3 linked regions of the Coturnix japonica genome follow. The protein of the gene in region 2 interacts with the protein of the main gene of each other region in a biochemical or structural test. Links are inferred from orthologs where the notes say so. Each region holds a gene or a part of one and is shown on either strand. Other genes may lie near its edges.

Region 1 (3,649 bases), on a different chromosome or scaffold from region 2:
CTTTACATAATTATAAATGCAAAGATCTCTGCCCCTCATCCCTCCTTTCACTGGCCACCTGTGCCACCAACTCCAGGTACCGACAGACAGGGAAGACTCCCACACCCAAAACCCAAATACCGACTGACAACCTGTACTCCCGGTACCTACTCATGCTGGTTGTCTGCTCTGCATATAGACACATCTCCCACATGTTATGCTTCTGACCCATCCAGGAGATGAAGATCTTCACCAACACTTGCATTTCTAAACAGTTACACAGATGATTTCTCTATTTCAGTGGCTACAAAAGGCTTGTTGACATTATCCTGTTATACCAGTAGCGCTTATTTTCAATGTGACAGTATCTTTTCAAACCATGGAGAAATCAAAAGGCAGTTACACTGTGCAGCCCTCAGCTCCATTTCTTTTCAACCAAGATCTGCAAACAGCATTTCCTAATAGGTACTTTGCAGTTCAAGTCTTCATTCGCATCCATTAGGTTAAGTGGAAAAGCAACCAGGATTTATTTCCATACAAGATTATACAAATAAAGATGTGTCTGATTTGTCCTCTTGCCTATCCCTTTTCCTTATGTTCTCTGCACTGTCTGTCAGCTACCAAGCTGCTTTAGGGCTCGGATTTGTTCCAAATTTTGAATTAATTCAATAGAGTCTGCTACTGCTGCCTAGGAAGGGCAAATAAAAACACTCCGCTCTTGCCTCTCGTTTCTACCAATATAGAAACAAATGAATTAGTAACTCACTTCTGACATTTGGCCCAGAGATGCTGTTTGGCACTTGATTCATTGCTGTACAAGGCACAGTGCAAGATTATGCTCTGTCCAATAGATGTAATTTACAGTTATAGGCAAAAAAAATAAAGGAAAAAAAAAAAGCTAATCCAAAAAAGAGCAGCCCAACGGCTGCAAAAAGCTTCTCCAAGAGTGACTTTCCACATGGAAACAGAGTGCTGGTTGACTGATGGTAGTTTGTGTACCTCAATGAACCCTAAGAACCTCACTAATTGCATGCACTGAAATGAAGAACATATTCACTCGGCTTTTAAAGAAGACTGAAACGCAGACAGTATTCCAAACAAACCACTGCCAGGCTTTTCCAGTCAAGACATTTTTGTTTATTGTTGTTGTTTTCTTTACCCTTGTTGGCTCTGGCTCTATCCTCAACATCGCTAAAAGGGTTAATGAAAATCAGGAGGAAAACTTCCATGTACTTCTTTCCAAACATGCAGTATCCTGGAAAGGCAAAGATATGTGCTTTCTGGGATCTGAGTTTACCCAGACTATTTTCAGTACCATAAAGAGTAGGGTAACACACTGCCTATCCAGTAAGTCCTCAGCTGCTCTACACAGATCAATCTGTGCCTAGGAGATTTTACATCAGAGCAAACACAAGGCTCCTATGTTCTGTTCAGCTGCAACCATCAGAGAAGTCACTGTTTCAGTCAGTCCTCAGACCGGACAAGGAGACCTCTTGCATTCAGTGACAGTACATGCAAACACCATCAGCTCCACCAAACACTGTGAGAAGTCCTCTTCTGCTCTAAGTCACCAAGTCTGGAAATCTCAGGCATGCTCGTCTTGGCTGCAGGATGTCTGAGAACAATTAAGGGCTGCAGAAGGACACAGGAATTCCTTAAGGATATCCAAGGAAAGGAGGAATCCATTTAAACCCTGAAAATTGCCAGCATTTCTTCTCTCCTGCCTGCTAGAGGGAGCCAGCTGATTGGCTGCTCTCAATCATCTCAGCAACTCCTTAGAGAAACTCTAAGCAACTCCTTAGGAGCTTCTATTTCTTCCTCATCTATCTACTCTGAGGATAAAAAAAAAAAATAGCGTATGCATTTCTGGACCTCACTCACATGAAACAGGGATAACAGCCAAGGAAAAAACAACAGCTGTTGGTGTCTTGGCAAACACACTGCAAAGCTGGGTTCAGAAACGCAGAGGTTACCAGATCTGCAAATACTTAATGACAGGGACAGTAACACCAACTACTCCCCAGCGGATTTCTGTGCGTTTTTTAATTATTCATGTTTTAGTTTATACCGGGTTTTCCATCTCTCCCCAACACAGCCAACATCCTTTTTGTTCTCTGTTTCGTCATCTGGCAGCTGGTTTCAGAATTCAGTCTGAAATAGAGGTTTTCTTATAACCAAGAAGCTTCTGCAACAGAACAAAGCTACTGCATTGAAGACTGCAAGACAACGCCAGCATTGTACGACACGCTCCCCACGCTTGGAATAGCAAGTTCAGCTTCACTGACATATCAGGGGAACTCTGACAGAACAAAGGATTTCAACTTAGATTTTGGGTTTTTTCATGTTAAAAAGAAAGAGAAGAAAACCACAACACCTTTCTGCATATTTAACAGGTAAGGAAAAAGAGAGAAGGCAAATGACAGGAAAATTCTTGACAGCTGCTAAAAATGAATACTGCCTTTCACTGTTGCTGCATCTTCTCTGTAGACTTAAAAAGACCTTACCAGGAAGGTAAGATCCTTTCTAAATTTGAAAGTAAATTTATAACAGAAGTGTGCAAGCTTAAAATGCAACACACGCTTAGTAATTCCACATGCAGATACACTCCAGACAAAAATGCCTTGCTGAAACTAACGTCGTGCTGAAAATAGGTGACACTACATTGGAACACATCCCTGGTACTCCATGGTCAGTTTCAGCAACACATACACTTAGGAATAGCCATCCCCATGCAATTAAGCCATCCCAATGCAATTATTTTTGCATGGCTTTAAATGCAAATATTCCCAGGGATGCTGTTCACCCCTGTTAAACTAATGGTGATTTTTTATTATTATTCTTTTTTTAAGCAAGAGCCACTCCCCTACCTACTAGCAAAGTCAGATAGAAAGCTATAGTTTGTGCCAGTAGGAGCCCATGGCCCAAATCATTTAACCTCAGGCTTGATAATTTTCTGTAGATTCATTTCCTACAGGTCATATGTCTGGACCGATATAAAAAAAAATGTGCTTCACAAACTTGCATCACATCTCAAAGAAGAAAACTGAACACGGAAAAGCATCCCGGTGTTTCTATTACCCTCTGCGTAGCATGGTTGAGCATCTCTTGCCAGGCAGAGTCAAACTGACGTTTGTCATCCTCTAGAAGCCTCTGCTCAGCAAGTGAAATAGTCTCCTTTGCGGCACGCAGCACTTCAGTCGCCCTCTGAAAATCCTGAGTCGCTCTCTGGGCTTCCAGCTGTGCCTAAAAATGGAAATATAAGGATTAGAGACAAAGGATCTACCAGGTTAATTCCAAGACTCTAAAAACACCTACTCCAGCATTACTGTTTCCCAACTGTTTGCTTAGAACTGACACATATTTGCTCACTGGGGTAAATACTGCTAAGACATTACCTGTTCCACCCAAACAGGTAATTTGCAAGGAACTGCCAAATGACGTTCACAGTCAAAACTGCAGAGCTGCTGGCCTACAAACAAGCACCCAGCTGAGAGATTAATAACTGATGCAATAGGCTTAATCACTGAGAAACAAAAGAAAAAGAAGAATGCAGTAAACTTGTAGCATGTCACGAATGCGTTGAGAAAGGCACTCCCTCACTTCAGTCAGGGTAGATTTTTATCAGTGCACCATTAATCACACTGAGGAAATGTTTTGGAGTTTCACACTG
Region 2 (3,649 bases):
TACAACTATCAGGGCGACCCCCAGGCCAGCCCTGTTCACATCCTGGCTTGATCCTGACCCAGAACAGGATGTAAAAGGTCTCCAACTGAGCACAACTTGCCAGATCGCCACACTTTCTCCTACTCACTCATAAATCTCCAGGGAATTGCTGGTTTCGGTGACATAGTTGCTAGGGATGTATCCTTCCCTTCTGCAAGAGAAAACAGAGTCTGAGACCAGTTGGGATTCCCCAGTGTGAGGTGGGGGTCCCTGGGGCTGCCCTGGGAGCAGTGCTGGGATAGAACACAGCTGCAGGGTGAATGCCATGGATAGTGGGAGCTCTCACCCATTTTTGTCACGGGCTTTCCACCAGGGCAGGTGGCTTTCCTCCAGGATGAGGTACTCCTCACCCTTCTGCAGCTGCAGGTCCTGCACATTCATTGGCACGTAGTTGTACAGGGCCACCACCTTTTTCATTTCGCCTGCTGCACTGGGGGCTGGCTCAGGGGGCAGGGGCTTCATCACCATCTTCCTCACGGCAAGGGAGAGCAAGGAACACGGTGAGGCTGGCAGGCATGCTGTTTCCTGGGCAAAGTCCCTCCCCAAGCCTGGCCAGGTTAGCACAGCATTCCATCTCAGCTCCCACATTGAATTCCACCAAGAGACTGACCCATCCCAGAGTTTTTTTACAGCCATATTTCCTTCTTGGAGTCCTGTCTTCACCAAAGCTAAGATTTTTCCCCTGAACCTTTGGTCTTTATCCTGTATCAGGGTTACTCTCTTTCTCAGCTCCCCCTGGGGACCCTCAAGGTGAGATCATTAAATGTTCCTTCAGCTTTTTGGGCTCCATCCCCTGGTTCAAGCCCCCTTGGGCTCTAATTTGACATCCCCCTCCAAAGCCAAGTTCTGGTCTGTAAAATTCTGCAGACTTCTCTTTAAACACTTTGGAGCAAACCCATGTTCACTGGTCCTTACCGTGTCCTCCTCAGGAGTGGGGGGAAGAGGCTTCTTTGTTTTGCGATGTGACCGCCCAGCTTTTAAACCTCCACAACACAAAAACAAAGGTGAGCACAGATCCCTACCTGTGGTGGGCAGGTGGGAAGTGATCACCAGGGCTGGCAATGGGCAAGGGGAGGGTGCCCAGTGTCTTACTGCCATTCCTGCTCTCCAGGATCTTGCAGCCCATGGCGTTCTTGGCTGTCTGGGAGCAGCACAGGTACTGGCCATCGATCCAGAAGCAGGGATGGTACTTCTGCACCAAGTCGCTGTTGTATCGGATAACTGCAGCCAAGGAGGGGAGATGCGTGTGACTCCAAATGCAGATGATCAGCCCTAGTAAATTATTTCACTCCCTGCTTTCCCACTGACACACAATTACATGGCCCTGCTGCTTGGGTTTCCACCAGCTAGCTGCTCTTGCCTCTGTGCCATCAAGCTGCTAGCCAGGGGAGGGCCAGCCCTTCCCTCTCAGATTTGATCAAAGCTATTCAGCAGCTCTGCAAAAGGACATGAGCACATCTGGAGGGCCAGGTCCTGCTGCAGCCAGTCCTCCTGCATGTCCAGCATCCCCCAGGCTGTCTGTTGAGGTCCACAACTCACAGGGCTTTTGAGCCTTTGGTGCTGGACCTGGTTTTCCTGTGGGCAGAGCAAGATGCACCTACCATCCCCTGCCTGCTCAGCAGCCTTCCTTGCTGGGGACTGCTCCCAGACTTCTTGCTGCTCATCCCCACGCTGTGGGACACCTGGATGTGCCTAAATGCCACCTCAGCATGATGGCCCACACTATCTCCACTGCCTGCAGAGAGCCCTGTCTCTCCAGGAAGCAGGATGTGGGCATCCCGGCAGCAAACAGCCAGTATTTCTCTCTCTCTTTCCCTGCAGATCCTGCAATGGCTTCCACTGCCACCACACCATCCTCCTGGAGTGGGGAAGTGGGGCTGGCAGCTAGGCAGAACAGCAGGGCTCTTGTGAGATAACTGACTTCCCTGTTATCAGCCCGCTCTGCTTCCTCCTTGCTCAGGCAAACTTCCCTGTGTCAATGTGAGCAGCTAATCTAACCCCACCAGCATAAAGCAACAGAAAGATACACACACACACACACACAGGCAGCTCCATCAGATTTTGGCTGACCACAAACAGCTCAGCCCCTCTGTTAAGTGCTGCAGCAAGGAGCTCACAGCTCGAGGAGAGAGCAGCTCCTCAGCAAAGCATCAGCTCAGCAACACCACATGGAGCTTGGAATGAGCTCAGAGATGCTGCTGGGCTCCTAATACACTTTTTGTCCACATTTCCTTCCTAATGCAATGGGGGCTCTACCCTCCCCTTGGTGGAGCTCTGTGGCCACATCTGCCATTTCCTCCTGCTCTCAGCGACTTCTGAAGATGATTGAACTGCTCTGGAGCAGGTTTGTGGGATGGCAAAATACCTCAGACAATGCTGTAGGAATAAGTAGGAGGTGAGTGCCCCCTCTCCCCAGGCTCACGCTAGCACAGGGATGGTACAAATGATGCAAGCAGGGGAATAGCCTTATGACTTTGCTCGTCATGGGAGCACTTTCTGATAGAGCTCTCTCCTCCGCAGATATGGGATATCGTAACCACGAGGCAGCAAGCCCCCGGAAACCCAGCGCTCTGAGTCACACCGCATGTGCAGCCAGGTGCCCCAAAACTCACCGCTCTTCAGCTGATGGATCCAGCGTTTGCGCAGCTCCTCTGTCGGGGAGAAGACATAGAGGGGCCCCTCGTCATACACCACCTGTAGTACACCAACGTGCTCAGCACCAGGCCATGGCTCATGGGGGGAAATAGGAGAGCAGAGGCTTGCAGCCACCCGGAGCAAAAGCCGTGCCGTTGTGTGCTGGCCCCGTGGTGCTCATGGAACCATGACAGAGACGTTATAAATAAGCCCCTTCCCCTGAGACTTTCCACTTCCTTCTCTAACTTTCATTGTGCTGGGTGCCAGTGAGCACGAGCAACTGGGCTGGGGGCTGAGTGAGCAAAGAGCATCCATCCCTCCAGGACTGGCCAGGGGACCAAAAATGGCAGGACAAAGCTCAGGGCCAGCATCCATCTCCTTTTCCAGAGAGCCGCCCGATTCCTCACTGCCCATGAAGGCTCATCAGCCTGCCCCACACAGCAGCAGGGTGTCCCCAAAATGATGCTGTGCTTATCCTCATGTCCCCCTGCTCTTCTCACCCCTGCTGCAATGCCAGCTCCTACCCTGCAGCCAGCTGAAGCAGAAAGGTGAAGTGAGCACGATGAGAACTAACCTGAAAGGGGTAGGGGAACCGCTCAATGATGGAGATCTGCTCCATGTTGTAATCCTCCCCTTTCCTCTGGAAGAGAGAGGGAAAGATGGACACTGACATCCTGCAGCTCAGCTGCTCCCACAGCCCTTGCCTTTCTCCTGCCCCGTGCTCTGTGTTGGGCTGGACATCAGTATAGTTTGGACTGTGTGCACAGAGCTCCATACCAGACAGCACTGCCCCAAAGAGAGTACAGGGGACAGCAGCAGGGACGCTCACCGGGACCTGCCGCTCAGGAGGAGGATTGTTTTCGGGCACCACCGTCTCCACACAGGTGATCTTCTCAATGTCCACCGAGCCCTTCTTGCTGCCTCGACGCTGCAAGAGACAAGACTGGTTTGAATGATCCCCAAAGCGGGGACCCGG
Region 3 (3,649 bases), on a different chromosome or scaffold from region 2:
CAGAGATGGATATGCTGAAGTGTATTAAGCACATTCATAATAGTTGTGCATTAAAGTTCACATATTTAAATATGCATGGATGTGCTCCCTATCCAATCCACAACTTCATGTCTTCCTACCAGTTCCAGGAGCTTTACACCTTTATCTTGTGGGCAGCCAGCAATCTGAATTCTTGTGTGTACAGATTGCTTTTCTTGCCCCTTTTGCTGTCCTTCCTCTCACATGTCAGTAGCTCTGGAAGTGGTCAAAGGGACCTTGCTGTTCATTCTGCAGAAGAGACTTAGTAGGGCGAGGGTGGGCTCCGGGGCCAGGAAGAGAACCCTAAGCTTAATCCTTTATTGCAGAGGCAAAGGGAAACTGGTGGTTATCCTCCTCCAGGGCAAGATTGACAGAGCCAAGATGTATTCAATACCTGCTTGAGTTTCTTTAGTTTTGGTTATTTTTTTTCCTTCTGTTCAGTCCTTGCTTCCTAATAAACTGTTGGGGTCCTGAGGTGGTTCCTTCCCGGGAAAGGAAGTTGTTGTTGTTTTTTAGTTTACCTGTTTTTTTTCCTGGTTCATCATGTAGTCTCAAAGAAGGGGAGGAGTTACCTTCCAAGGCTGGGGTGGGGAGGGGATTCATGGCTTTTTAGACTGGCTAAATGCCTGACAGTAAGCTCAAATGGCATTAGACAAGTCAGTTAACCCTTGCTACTTTACGCCTGCACTTGTAAGCTCTAGTATGATATGCATTTAACTTTGTGCAGTTGATGGGGGAAAAGTTATTTTTATTGACTAATCTGTTCTGTTTTGTTCTTTTTTCAGGTCTCCCTTGCAATTATGGAGTTTTAGAAGAATAAAGGAGTGTGGAGGGGGAATCCCCCTCTCCACACATAAGGTAGTCGGTTCACTTCAGAATTTTCTATGGACAACAATATTTGTTATATATGATGGTGAAATAAGACTATTTAAAATATATATTTTTAAGTATTTATTTGGATCAAGTGCCAAATATAACATTACACAGATTTCTGATGGCAGCTCAATAAAACTGGATTTACATCTTTGGAATTACAAATTTTTTGAAGGCACTGTGTTGCATACTGAGTTGGAGTGCCTTGATATTCTTAATGGTTGTTCCCCTTAAGGAGAGGAGCAGCTTCCGAAGTGAAGATGAATTCTCTCCTGCCAGACTGCACTTCTAAGTGTCGATCTCTACAGCATGCTTTGGATGTTATTTCTGTAGTAACCAGAGGAAGTGAAGGCCAGATCAAAGCCTTTCTTTCTTCTTACTGCTACAACGCTGCAACTATAAAGGATGCCTTTGGTAGAAATGTTCTACATCTTGCTTCATCCTGTGGCAAGAAAGGTGTGCTGGACTGGTTGGCTGAGACCAAAGGAGTGGATCTCTTGGCGAAAGACAAGGAGTCTGGATGGACAGCTTTGCACAGAAGTATATTTTATGGATACATCGACTGTGTTCTGTCGCTACTGAAGGTGAGTATTTGCAACTGCAGTTTTTCTTGGAATTTGTGAGTTTTTGAGTGGTCTCAGTCACTTGAAAGTGAGTGGTTTTAAAACATGAGTGAAAGCCTCTTGAAGGTTATCTTAGCACTGTATTTAGATCATAGTGCACTGATATACTTGAAATTTGTCTTTGTATTCCTAAAATATATCTGTCTTTGCCCACTAAGAAATAAGTTCTGAGTAAGAGTCCCCAGTCAGTTGTGGACTTCCCTGAAAGACTGGTTTCACAGAATCACAGAATTGTAGGGGTTGGAAGGGACCTCCAGAGATCATTGAGTCCAACCCCCCTGCCAAAGCAGGTTCCCTACACCACGTCGCACAGGTAGGTATCCAGTCGGGTCTTGAATGTCTCTAGAGAAGGAGACTCCACCATCTCCCTGGGCAGCCTGTTCCAGTGCTCCATCACCCTCACCATAAAGAAGTTCTTGCGCACATTCATGTGGAACTTCCTGCTGTAGTTTCATCCCATTACCCCCAGTCCTGTCCCCACTCACTACTGAAAAGAGACCAGCCTCACCACTATGGCCCCCACACCTCAGGAATTTATAAACCTGGATCAAATCCCCTCTCAGCCTTCTTTTCTTAAGGCTATACAGACCCAGTTCACTTATTCTCATTTCATTTATATTTTAACCAGGGCTTCCACTTGGTTCCCTTTGTTCCTTCCTTGTTATATTGCTGCTTCTTCCCCTCCTCTTAGCAAGTTGTTTTTCATTTTTACTTCCTCCTTCTTCTGTTCCTCCAGTCCAGAGTAGAGCAACAGGAAGATCTGCATTTGATTGAGATGTTCAGGCTCCTTTTAGCCAAATATTTGTGGTTCAGGATGACTTAAAGCAAACTTTAAGGCAAAGTCTTTTGCATTTTGAGTTCAGCTTTCTAACATTGCGGTGACTAGCAATTTGTAAGCATTAAACTCTCTGCTTTCAAGAAGCAGTTTGAACAAAGTAGATGTGGATCCAGTAGTTCTTAATTATTGGAAGTGTGATAACTGATAAATATGCATTTCATGTGTTGTACTCCTGCATAGTGAGGAGGTTTTCTTTAAGCTTTCCAAAAGTAAATGTTTTTATGAGAATTGTAGGTGGTTCTGTTCTGTATAAAACTGGAAGCTGTATATGTGATGGTTGAGAAGGTATTGAATCCTCTAGTGTGTGTATGTGTCTCTGTGGCTTTGATATTTGCTTACAGGAGGCTGTTAGTGTTTTTCCCAAATGTGTTTTTTTATCAGTTGCATGACTATGTGAGGTTGTTATGATAGGTGGCTCTGTTGGTATTCCTCTTAGAAGAAAAATGAGTCATGGAGAGTGCTCTACCTTCTAGTTTCCTAACTCTCGCTCTGCTATGCAGTGTTATTAAAAGCATGTGTTCTTAAAAGCATGTGTTATAGATCATAGTTATGAAATAGCTGAGCTAGAAAGGGACCTTGGAGCAATTGGCTAGTCTGCACATCTGTACTTCAATGTTTTAACACCAGTTCAGTTAAAGTGTTTATATGTTTAAATGGAACTTCCTGTGTTTAAATTTGTACCCATTGCAGCTATACCTGTCACTGGATACCACTGATAACCCGTCTTGTTATGTATATGTATATGTATATAAATATATATATATATATACATATATATTTATTATACATACACACACACACACATATATATTTATATACATACACACATATATATACATATATATATACATATATATATGTGTGTGTATGTATATAAAATATCTACAGTCAACAAGAAGGGTCAAAAGGAAGACTTAGGGAGCTACGGGTCTGTCATGACTGAGGAATGTCATGGAACAGATAGTTTTGACTGTGATTTTATGGTGTGTGCAAGGACAGCCAGGAAATCAGGCTCAGCCAGTGTGGATTCATGAGAGGCAAGTCCTGCTTGATTAACTTGATTTCCTTCTGTGAGCAGATGATCCGTCTAATGGATGAAGGAAAGACTGTGAATGTAGTCTATGTAGACTTTAGTAAGGCCTTTGACTCTGTCTCCTGTAGTATTTTGCGAAGCTGTCTGGCTGTAGCTTGGACAGGTACAGTTCTTGCTGAGTAAAAAACTGGCTGGGTGGCCAGGCCCAGAGAGTGGTGGAGAATGGAGTTAAATCCAGCTGGTGACTGGTCACAAGTGGTGTTG

The links.
Region 1: the proteins of BTK (region 2) and SH3BP5 form a complex in vitro, tested with the Homo sapiens proteins (2 studies listed by BioGRID, with this or other methods). The link is inferred for Coturnix japonica from reciprocal best matches to the Homo sapiens genes BTK and SH3BP5.
Region 3: the proteins of BTK (region 2) and IBTK form a complex in vitro, tested with the Homo sapiens proteins (2 studies listed by BioGRID). The link is inferred for Coturnix japonica from reciprocal best matches to the Homo sapiens genes BTK and IBTK.

The regions. Positions count from the first base shown.
Region 1 is NC_029517.1:38,179,050-38,182,698, reverse strand, and holds part of SH3BP5 (SH3 domain-binding protein 5), read right to left. Parts: intron 3,223-3,649; coding exon 3,058-3,222; intron 1-3,057. UniProt on the Homo sapiens protein: Functions as a guanine nucleotide exchange factor (GEF) with specificity for RAB11A and RAB25. Inhibits the auto- and transphosphorylation activity of BTK. Plays a negative regulatory role in BTK-related cytoplasmic signaling in B-cells.
Region 2 is NC_029519.1:1,979,154-1,982,802, reverse strand, and holds part of BTK (tyrosine-protein kinase BTK), read right to left. Parts: intron 3,602-3,649; coding exon 3,503-3,601; intron 3,314-3,502; coding exon 3,248-3,313; intron 2,734-3,247; coding exon 2,652-2,733; intron 1,261-2,651; coding exon 1,132-1,260; intron 1,023-1,131; coding exon 955-1,022; intron 508-954; coding exon 326-507; intron 191-325; coding exon 128-190; intron 1-127. UniProt on the Homo sapiens protein: Non-receptor tyrosine kinase indispensable for B lymphocyte development, differentiation and signaling. Binding of antigen to the B-cell antigen receptor (BCR) triggers signaling that ultimately leads to B-cell activation.
Region 3 is NC_029518.1:71,346,903-71,350,551, forward strand, and holds part of IBTK (inhibitor of Bruton tyrosine kinase), read left to right. Parts: intron 1-803; 5' UTR 804-876; exon of another isoform or gene 877-1,126; 5' UTR 1,127-1,151; coding exon 1,152-1,475; intron 1,476-3,649. UniProt on the Homo sapiens protein: Acts as an inhibitor of BTK tyrosine kinase activity, thereby playing a role in B-cell development. Down-regulates BTK kinase activity, leading to interference with BTK-mediated calcium mobilization and NF-kappa-B-driven transcription.